Linked DNA regions of Callithrix jacchus. The protein of the gene in region 3 interacts with the protein of the main gene of each other region in a pairwise test. Links are inferred from orthologs where the notes say so. Each region holds a gene or a part of one and is shown on either strand. Other genes may lie near its edges.

The links.
Region 1: the proteins of TRIP10 (region 3) and ARHGAP17 interact in binary tests that used the Homo sapiens proteins (3 or more experiments, as listed by UniProt). The link is inferred for Callithrix jacchus from reciprocal best matches to the Homo sapiens genes TRIP10 and ARHGAP17.
Region 2: the proteins of TRIP10 (region 3) and SH3BP1 interact in binary tests that used the Homo sapiens proteins (3 or more experiments, as listed by UniProt). The two-hybrid records come from large-scale screens. The link is inferred for Callithrix jacchus from reciprocal best matches to the Homo sapiens genes TRIP10 and SH3BP1.

Annotation. Positions count from the first base shown.
Region 1 is NC_133513.1:25,595,221-25,598,966, reverse strand, and holds the start of ARHGAP17 (rho GTPase-activating protein 17), read left to right. Parts: upstream 1-1,084; 5' UTR 1,085-1,217; coding exon 1,218-1,270; intron 1,271-3,746. UniProt on the Homo sapiens protein: Rho GTPase-activating protein involved in the maintenance of tight junction by regulating the activity of CDC42, thereby playing a central role in apical polarity of epithelial cells.
Region 2 is NC_133502.1:208,649,084-208,651,993, reverse strand, and holds part of SH3BP1 (SH3 domain-binding protein 1), read right to left. Parts: intron 2,130-2,910; coding exon 2,032-2,129; intron 1,768-2,031; coding exon 1,590-1,767; intron 402-1,589; coding exon 307-401; intron 1-306. UniProt on the Homo sapiens protein: GTPase activating protein (GAP) which specifically converts GTP-bound Rho-type GTPases including RAC1 and CDC42 in their inactive GDP-bound form.
Region 3 is NC_133523.1:6,329,503-6,333,204, reverse strand, and holds the start of TRIP10 (cdc42-interacting protein 4), read right to left. Parts: upstream 2,942-3,702; 5' UTR 2,791-2,941; coding exon 2,725-2,790; intron 1,929-2,724; exon of another isoform or gene 1,843-1,928; coding exon of another isoform or gene 1,819-1,842; intron 591-1,818; coding exon 475-590; intron 378-474; coding exon 321-377; intron 1-320. UniProt on the Homo sapiens protein: Required for translocation of GLUT4 to the plasma membrane in response to insulin signaling. Required to coordinate membrane tubulation with reorganization of the actin cytoskeleton during endocytosis.

The DNA.
Region 1 (3,746 bases), on a different chromosome or scaffold from region 3:
GTGGCTCACGAAGGAAGCCACATTGCTGCCCATATACCCCAAGGAACGGTCTGAGCTGGCGTCAAGGCCACCAAACCGGAAGACATTGCTGTGGTTCATAGAACTGAGCTGGTCCGCTCACAGAAGGGTCCAGTGCAGTCAGATCCAAGCTCAGTCTGGCCAACTTAGCAAGATGCCATCTCTAAAACAAAGGGAAAAACTTACAACCATGTGTTTCTAGTCAGCGCCTGCTCAGAGGCCCACCAAGGGCAGGGCACTGCCTGGAAATGCAGAAGCCTGGCCTGGGGCCTCACTAGGGCCAGTCTCTGGTGACCATGGGCCTCTGCTTGATCAGAAGGGCCTACTGGGTTGGCCCCCTTCCCGTCTGCATTGGTGCCTTTCCCTAGTGCCACATGCAGCCCCAGCCAACCACAAGGGCTCCAAAAGGGCAACCCCCAAATGCCTTTCCCTGACTGTGTGAGCACGTTTTAAGGAAAACACACTTTGCCCTTTATTTTCTTTTCTTTTTTTTTGAGACAGGATCTCACTCTGTTGCCCAGGCTGGAGTGCAGTAACAGTGAATCGCCTCCTTTAACCTTCCGAGTAGTTGAAATTATAGGCGCCCACCCCCACGCCCGGCTAAATTTGTATTTTTAGTAGAGACAAGGTTAACCACGTTGGCCAGGCTGCTCTCGAACTCATGACCTCAAGTAATCCGCTCGCCTTAGCTTCCCAAAGTGCTGAGACTACAGCTCTGAACCTCCGCACCCTGCCAGAAACAGATTTTCATGTGCTGAAATAAACTAGAGGGTGGCAGAGCGACACTGGTGTCGGGGAGCGGGGCGGAGAAGGACTAGCATTCTGCGACCCCGGAACCTTCTCACTCTTTGCCCGGGTCAGGTTAGGCTGTTAGCGTAGGCTCGGCTCGGTTCGGCTCGGCTCGGCTAGACTCGGCTCGGCTAGACTCGGCTCGGCTCGGCTCGGCTCGGCTCGGCTCGGCTCGGCTCGGCTCGGCTCGGCTCGGCCCGGCCCGGCTCGGCCAGGATCTGGAGGGCGGGAGGGCGGTGCCACTGGAAGTGACGCGACGAGGGCGGGGCCGCCGGCCGGGGAGCTTCAGCCTCCGCCGCCGCTGCGGTAGCTGCCGCCGCCGCTTGGGCAGGGAAGCGATGTAGTAGTTGCCAGGCTGTCTCCCGCCCTGCCCGGCCCGAGCCCCGCGGGCCGCCGCCGCCACCGCCGCCATGAAGAAGCAGTTCAACCGCATGAAGCAGCTGGCTAACCAGACAGTGGGCAGGCGAGTGCGCCGGGCCGCACGGGGGTCGCGCCGGGGCTGGGGGCGGAGGGCGGGGGAGGGGGGAACGGCTTCTCCTCTGTCCGGTGGCTCCGGACCTGGCCGCAGCCCAGCCCGCGACTAGCGGGGCCCCGGCCCGGGGGCTGTGCCGTGCTGAGGCCCGAGCTCCGCGCTCCTGGCGGCCCGCTAGTCTCCCCGCGCCGCCGGGCCCCTGAGACCTGCTGGGGCGGGCCGCCGCCACCTCGCAGGGTCCCCTGCCCATTGTCCCTGCCCCGGGAGCATCGGCCTCGGGGAGTAGACCTGGTCCTTCTCCTCCCTTCCCGGGGCCGAGCCAGCCCAGATCGCTGCCCTGGGCTCAACTCCAGTGACTTCTGTCCCTAACGCTGTGCCGAGCACTGTGCGGTGGCGGGCGGCATTCCCAGGCTTTCCGGGTGCTCCCGCTGTTGCGAGTCCTTCTCCTGTAAGTGCATGGCGGCAAAAAATGGCTAGAGGGTCAGGAAAGCCAGTCGGATTTGCTCAGTGAGTTCAGAACGCCCTTTGAGGGAATTCGGAGGTGGTGCTGTCTCAAAACGAGGGCTCCTAGGAACTGGACTGCTGCTGCCAGTTCTTGACATTTAGAAATTTGGAATTGGCAGAAAAGTATTATGGAGACACCTTGTGCCAATTTAAAAAGTCTCACTGTACGTTTGGAAACAAATGCTTCTCTTTCTTTCGTACGGCTGAAGTGCTTGACAAGAAACGTTATTGATTATTCCTTGGCAGGATAGACCAGAGTTGGTAGATCAGGTGTTCAGAACAAGAAATGATTTGTGGTTTTTGAGAGTTTCTGGAAGTGACTGTCATGTGCTGTATTATCTGGGCTAATATTTCAAGGTCTTCCAGGGCAACTGGCTGTACTGTACCAATTTAGTGTTTATTCAGCAAAGAGATATGGAAGTATGCATTTTTTACAGCTCTTTTGTTTTACTTTTCCTTTTATTCCCCCCCAGCGGTTATCTCCTCAAGTTAAAGTTTTTCTTTTTTTTTTTTTTTTTTAACAGTTAAGGGGAGTTTGGTTTGTCTGAAGCACGTGGGACACTTCTTTTTTTCTGAGTATATGAAAATACTTTTACTTCCTCTTGAGTTTTCTAAATTTGCCTTTTACTGTTTCATTTCCTCCATCTTTTTGCTTAGTTTCCTTGTTTTAATTATTTTCGATTCCCTTCCGTATTATTGTGAGAATTAATTTTCTTATCTTCAGGGTTAATCCCTGCCCTTAAAACCCAAACACACCTACTTTTCTGTTATTTGCAGGAAAATTAAAGAAATGATGCTGAGAGGAAGGTAGACGTGTAGTAAAGGGGGCTGATGTTTCAAGGAACAATTTAAAGCACATGATAATTCCTTGCGAGTTTCGTACCCTTGTTAGTGTCCTGAGCAACGTGCATTGTGGAACTAGTGTTTAGTAAGTGCCAAGATAATTTGTCAGATAGTCAGTTTGGCCTCTTTTCACATTGTTCGTGACAGGTAAGGGACATTCACTCTTTTTATACAAGGTTCTGAGATTTAAATCTACCAAGCTATTTAGGGTCTCTACCTCCTGAGTCATCTCAGAGGTTTCTCCCTTCACATGTTTTTTTTTTTTTTTTTTTTTTTTTTGAGATGGGGTCTCTCTTTGTCACCTAGGTTGGGGTGCAGTGGTGCGATCTTGACTCATTGGAGCCTTGACTTCCTTGGGCTCAAACAATCCTCCCACCTCAGCCACCCAAGTAGTTGGGACTCCAGGTGACCATCACCACACCTGCCTCATTTTTGTATTTTTTGTAGAAATGGGGTTTTGCCATGTTGCCTGGTGTTGAACTCCTGGCCTCAAGTCATCTGCCTGCCTTGGCCTCCCAAAGTGCTGGAACTACAAGTGTGAGCCATCTTGCCTGGCCCCTTCACATTTAAAATTCTGGCCATGCTTGCCTACTTTGAGTTTCCACAGGAGGTCTTGCTTTCTTACCTGTTATCATCTACTTGGAACTCCTGGAAGCCTCTCTCACCACACCTTTTCTCTAGGCACCTCCTGCTCATTCTTCAGTCTTCTAGGAAAGGTCTCTTTGCCTCTGGAAGGCCTTCTCTGATGCTTCAGCACAGATTGGATGTCTCTCCTGAGCGTTATCGTAATCCCGGGTAGCACCTGTTTTTCTGTACTGTGACTGCCTTTGTGTGTGTTCTCTATTAGATTAAACGTGTTGAAAGGCCTTGCTGTGTCTCCTTTGATTCCCAGGGTCTGCTGTGGTTTCTATTCCATGGTTAATGTACGGTGGACATTAATTCTGGTATTTGAGTTCTTAGTAGATCACCGTGATGGTACGGGCCCAAGTATGGGAAAATGTGAAGTGGATAGAGTAGATGGTGATTCATGCTAGGGCTGTCATTCTGGGCCTGACCTTTGACTCTCTTTAAAAATCTTTATTGCTAGATGCCAGTGGAAGCTGAAGCTGTTACAGAACTA
Region 2 (2,910 bases), on a different chromosome or scaffold from region 3:
CAGTACTCACGCCGGCTCCTCTTCAGTGGCCACTAGCTATGTGCCAGGACCAGGCACTTTCTGCAGCACCACTGAAGGCTCCATGCAGCCCCATAAGGTAAGTGCAGTTATTGTCCCATTACACAGAGGAGGAAGGCGAGGCTCAGACAGGTGAACTCACCTGCCCAAAGTCAAAGAGCTCAAATCTAAACTCAGAGCGCCCAGTGGCAAAACCGGGGCTTTTGATCACCTTGACTCCTGCCTCCCTGGCTGCCTAAAAAGATAGGAGGACCTGGGACTGCCTGTCCCCTCCCACAGCCAACTCACTCCTCCGAGCCATGTCCTCCACTTGGGTAGCTGTCTCCGGGGGGCTCCTGGTGACCTTGGGGGAGGCTGGTCTGGGCGGCACCTCAGACTCTGTCCTGCGGAGGGAAGGAGAGGATGAGGCAGACCTGGCCACCTCCCAGAAGCCTCATGGAATCCTGGTGAGGCTCCAGCTGCCAGGTGGAGTCTGGGTCCTCCCAGCACCCGCTCTCTACCACCTTGTGGCTGCTCCTGGGATCTGTCCCCAGGCCACACACCCCTGCCAAAGATGCTTCTGGCATTGGTAGGGGTCTGCGTCCACTGAGCTCCTGGCTGCTTTGTGACTCTGTGATGGAGTCCATGTTCCTCCAGGGACTAGGAGGGAGCCCCACCTGCCTGGGCGGTAGGACACAGGCCCTGACCTCTGCCTCAGCTCAGGGCCTCCACGTGCTTTTTCTGTGGGGGAAGGAGTCTTGTACTGTCACCCAGGCTGGAGCGCAATGGCACGATCCTGGCTCACTGCAACCTCCGCCTCCTGGGTTCATGCGATTCTCCTGCCTCAGCCTCCCAGGTAGCTGGGATTATAGGCACGCACCACCACATCTGGCTAAGTTTTTGTATTTTTTTTTTCCCCAATTTGTGTTGTCACCAATTTTTTTGTATTTTTAGTAGACACAGGGTTTCACTATGTTGGCCAGACTAGTCTGGAACTCCTGACCTCATGATAGGCCCGCCTTGGGCTCCCAACATGCTGGGATTACAGGCATGAGCCACTGTGGCTGGCCAGTCGTTTCTTTTGAGACGATTCTTGCTGTTGCCCAGGCTGGAGTGCAGTGGCATGATCTTGGCTCAACCCATCCTCTCCAAACTGGGAGATCTGGTCTTTGAGATGAAAATACTAATCAGGCAGGGCCCATGCCTATAATCCCAGCACTTTGGGAGGCCAAGGCGGGTGGATCACCTGAGGTCAGGAGTTCAAGACCAGCCTGGCCAACATGGTAAAACCCCGTCTCTACTAAAAAACACAAAATTAGCCAGGCATGCTGGCAGGTACCTGTAATGCCAGCTACTAGGGAGGCTGAGGCAGGAGAATCGCTTGAACCTGGGAGGTGGAGGTTGCAGTGAGCCTAGATTGTGCCACTGCACTCCAGCCTGGGCAACAGACTAAGACCTTGTCTCAAAAAAAAAAAAAAGACTAATCATTACATTTCCAAAAATTCAGCTTCTAGTTCTGAGACATGGGGCCTCAGGCAGGCTGTCTGTGGGACTGCCACAGGAGCCAGCCATTCATACCACTCAGTCCTCACCTTTCCTTGGTAGCCGCTAAGGCCAAGGCTGGGGCTGGAACCAGAGCTGGAGCCGGAGCTGGGGTGGTGGCTGAGGTGGGCATGGTGCTGGGTGGAAGCTCATCAGAGGTCAGCCTGTCACTGACCGTGTCCTGGAGGGTGACGGCTGAGAAGAGGCCTGACACGTTGAAGTCGATGTCTGGGGACAGGAGTAGAGATGGCTCTGAGAGACTGCGCCAGGCTCCCCTCCACCGGCTGGGCCGCCTTCCCCTCCCCTGAACCCATCTGGACCACAGTCAGCTTCCCGGCTCCCGTGCAGCCCCATTGTAGAAATGGGAAACTGAGGCTCAGATTAGAGACACAACTTCCTCCCGGCCTTAGGGTGAGTTTGTGGGGCTGCTGGGGAGGGAGCAGGGCAGAGGGAGGGCACCCTGAAGGGCATCCACTCAGACAAGAGCTTCACCTCCAGGGAAGAGGGTGTCTGCGTTCTGGATCAGCGCCTCAACTACGCCCACCACCTGGATGGAAGACACGGAGGCTGCGTCCAGCTGGGCCTGGTCCCTGGGACAAAGAGACGCATCCACTTAGCAAAGCGTTTGTGACCCCAACTCTCTGTCTGGCCCTGTGCTGGGCACTGGAGACACAAGGGTCCATCATATTAAGTCCTTGTCCTCAAAAAGCCCACAAACCACCAGTGTCACGCACATGCCAGATGTCCCCGTTCCTTTACCCTGACAGACATCACTCATTAATAAGGACCTTCTCCCTCATGGCTGTGATCTAGGCTGCCTCTACCAAGCAAATGTGATCAGCATGTGGAAGGAATCTCTGTGGCCACGTGAATAATGAGGACTCCTCACTGCACTTTGCACTTGAATTTTATTATTTCTTTTTCTTTTTTTTTGAGACAGAATCTCGCTCTGTTGCCCAGGCTGGAGGGCAGTGGCGCGATCTTGGCTCACCGCAACCTCTGCCTCCTGGGTTCAAGCGATTCTCCTGCCTCAGCCTCCCAAGTAGCTGGGATTAACAAGCGTTTGCCACCATGCCTGGCTAATTTTTTGTATTTTTAATAGAGATGGGGTTTCACCATGTTGGCCAGGCTGGTATCAAACTCCCGACCTCAGGTGATCTACCTGCCTTGGCCTCCCAAAGTGCTGGGCTTACAGCACGTGAGTCACTGCACCTGGCCTATTCATTTTTAGAGACAGGGTCTCCTTCTGTCACCCAGGCTGGAGTGCAGTGGCACTATCATGGGTCACTGCAGCCTTCATTCCCTGGGATCAAGCTGTCCTCCCACCTCAGCCTTCTGAGTAGCTGGGACTTCAGGTGCAGGCCACCATGC
Region 3 (3,702 bases):
CATCATCCCATTTCACAGATGAGGAAAACAGAGGCACAAAACAAAAACGTCATCTGCCTCAAGTGAATGGTTTGGTAACTGCTGGGGCCTCAGTATTTAATAGTTAAGGAAAATAGAGGCAGAGAACCCAAGGCAATTCATCTACATAGTAGCGGACTCAGGCTTCCAACACAGATAATCCCGTATCTTACATCCAAGCTCTCACCTCTAGAGAGGAAGTGAGATGAGCGGTGGGGTGTCCCAGCCGCGGGAGGGGAAGGGAGACCCACGCTCCGTCCTCCCCCACCAAATCTGGCCCTGCAGCCCCTCTCCACCCTTACCTGGACTCAGGATCATCCTTGGCAGGTCTCTTGGGCAGATATTTTTTCACCAGGTTCCTAAGGGGAGACAGAGGGAGGAGGGCTGAGCCCACAGCCTCCCACCCTATCCCTCGCCCCAGGCACGCCCACCGTAGCGTCCACTCCAGGGTCTCACCGCAGTTGCTTGGCGTAAGCTTGTTCCACCTCGGTGCGTTCTTTCACGAACTTTACGTATCTCTCCAACAGGTCCAGACCCCACTGCGTGTGGCGCTCGAGCACCTCGAATTGATCCTGGCAGGAGGCATGGTGGGGGAGGAGGGGGGAGGGGCCCGGGTCAAGATCTTGGGACCCCACAGCCCGCCGACCGTAGACTCGCAGGGAACCCCAAGGCTCTGCGCTCCTAGGAGGAGTGGCTTCCCGGCGCCGCCCAGGCGTGGCGCGGTGGGGAGGCAGGAAACTGGCGGGAACCCCCTCGCCTTCCCGGGAAGGGCCGGAGAACAGCGCCCAGGCCCCAGCCACCCCGGCCGGGAGATGGGGGTCTCCGACTTAAGACCACCAAGAGGGGCGTGGAAGGGGGCAGGGCCACTCCCCCAGCTCAGGCTTCCCTAATCCCCCCGGATTCCGGAAAATCCGGCCGGCCCAGCTAGAGTCTAGGCCAGAGGGGAAGGGTTCCTCGCAAACTGAGGGCCCCTGAGTGGCCAGGGGGCAAGCACCAGGTTCTCTGAATCTCCCTGCCTCCCGGGATCCCCCAGTAGGTGACTCAATTTCCCCCAGAGACCCCACTACACCTCCAAAAGAAATCGCAGAGTTGGAGGAGGGGATGGAGGTCTGGTTACCCCCGCGGCACTAAGAACTCAGGGATTCCACCGCCCCCAGGAATGGGAGGGGTCAGAGGTCCGGCTAGGATAGGGGGAAATTTCTGGGGCTTCCAGGGCTGAGGATAGAGGCGACCAGTGGGCAGTCCTGCCCTGGGCCTGGGCGAGCAGGGGGAAGCCAGAGAGGGGGGTCAAGTCGAGCTTAACATCACCCTTCCCCTCCAGGAGCGTCCCCAGCCCCTAGGTGTTAATTAAAGGCGAGGAAAAGGGCGGAGAGGACTTCTAGGTCCCACGTGGGTGGGGATGAGGGTGACCAGAGGGTCCCCTCCCCCCTCCCTGCCGGACAGGAGGACGACGGGCAGGGACCCAGGGGCCGTAAGATAAGCCGCCTGCTTCGCCAGGGCGCCCAAAATAGGTGACCTCTCCCAGCCGCCCCGGCCTCGCCCCAGGATTCCTTCTGCCCTTCTCACTCTCAACCCTGTGCCTCAGTTTCCCCACGCCGGTCCGGGAAAGTAGCCTTTCGCCCCTGAACGTGCTGAGACTCCCAGATAAACTCCGGGAGAGGGCGAAGGGTGGAGGGCGGGGACCCAAGGGTCGGTGGAAGGGAAAGGCGCGGAGTCCCCCTCTAAGATACGCTGGGGACAAAAGCGGGGGTGCCTGGACCCCAGCAAGGGGGAACTTAGAGGCGGGACGATTGAACTTACCCACAGCTCAGTGCCCCAATCCATGCTGCTCCCGCCGCCGCTGCCGCCGCAGCCACCACCGCTCCCGGTCCCCGCCGCCCGCCGCCCGCCGCCCTCCCCGGGGAGACTCTGCCGAGGTCGGTGCGCCTGGCCCCGCCCCACCCCGCCCGGCCCCGCCCCACCCCGCCCGGCCCCGCCTACCCCAGGCTCTTCCACGCCCCCCTGCACGCTCTGCCACACCCCCGCCCGCGCGGAGCCAAAGCCCTGCGCTTCAGGGGCGGGGCCCCGAGAAGGCGGGGCTCAACGGAATCCCCCGCCCCCTTTTAAAGCAAAGGTGCCGCTCGACGCCGCTGGACCGACCCCTTAAAGAACCCCCCACCCATTTTTCCAAGTCCCCGGGACCCCTCTCGTCTTCCCAACTCCTTTTCCCCTTTCTCCGCAATTATTCCTTAAAGGGCCAAGACACTAAAACTCCAAACCCAAAAAGTCCTTCCTCAACCCCGTTGCAGGGGGATCCTGAGGTCACCCCGTTCTTGCGAGCCGGCCCGGCTCCAGGCGCCTAGGTTCGTCCCACTAATGGTCTGGTCCCTCCGGCCACAGGGCGGATGAGGACTTCGATCCAGCCCGGGACGCGCCTCCGCCAAGGCCGGGTCCATTAGTTCCCTCACCGCATCCTGCCTTCCCTCCCCCAGAGTCTGCGCTGGGAAACTGAGGACGGGCTGTCCTTGTGATGCGAGGCCCAGGCCCTTCCTCGGCTGCGGTCCAGTCCGCGCCTGCATCTGCCCATTTTCCAGTCTCATCCATGGAGATTGAATCTGGTTGAATTCTCAGTACTGCCCCTGGGATTCCGACTCCGCCCCTCCCCCAGACGTCTGGGGCCCAGGGGATGGGAAGTTTGTCACCTCTCCCGTAGAAGTCTGTTCGCACCTTATAAATCCCTTTGAGGCGCTGGGATGAAAGAGAAGAGGAGACACCGGGGATTCCCACCCTCATTCTCTCCAGCCTTTGGCCCTTTCTCTGTAGCTACAGAGAAGGCGGGGGATCTTGCAGGGGGGCCCTTGAGGATACGTTCCCCTTACACAGAGCACCCAAGATCCCAGGACAGAGAGATAACGGGGAAACCCAGGAGGAGAGCTTTGGGACTGATGGCTCTGCTGGGACCTGGCCCCACCTGCTGGTGGCTTCTGAGCTAGAAAACGTCAGATCACAGTTGGGCAATTGAATGCAGTGAGTTCAGTGGCTCGTCTGAAATGGGGGCTCAGCCTAGCAAAGTTCTGAGCTCAACTCTGGTCAGAGACTCACACTGGAGTTAGGGTTCAGCCCAGGCCAGCACCACGGTGGGAATTGGGTCTCAAACTGAGGTCGGAGGCCTAACCAGACGGATTAGCAATCCAGGGTTCAGGTCCAATCTGGAGTCAGGACTAGTCCAGATCGGTCGCCTAAACCAGAGATTAAACTTCAGTATGTGGCGGGGGGCGGGGGGCGAATGGGTGTCAGAGTTTCAGGCTGAAGCTGGGGCTCGACTGCAGGGAGGGAGTTCACCTGGGTTCAGCCCAAAGTCCAGTTTAGCCTGGAATCTGGCAGTGGGGCTCCAATTGCCTCACTCCGGAATAGGAGGCTTAGCCTAAGGCTGGGGTCTCAGCCTGGGGTCACAGGTCATCCTAGGGTCAAACTTTAACCTGAGGCCAGCTTTAGGCCTCTCTGTGGTCCAGGAAGATTAGGAAAACAGGTCAGGCCTGAACAGATGTGTGTGTTTACCAAAAGCCTGAGCTCTGGCTGGGAGCCACTTCCCTAGGGCAAGAAGAGGAAGTCCGTCTTTGAGGTAGTGGGAAATGTAGTTTATTTAATGCCTTGTTGCGCTTGTCTGCTTCCACTGCATTCTGGGTAGTGTAGTCCTGGACCGTT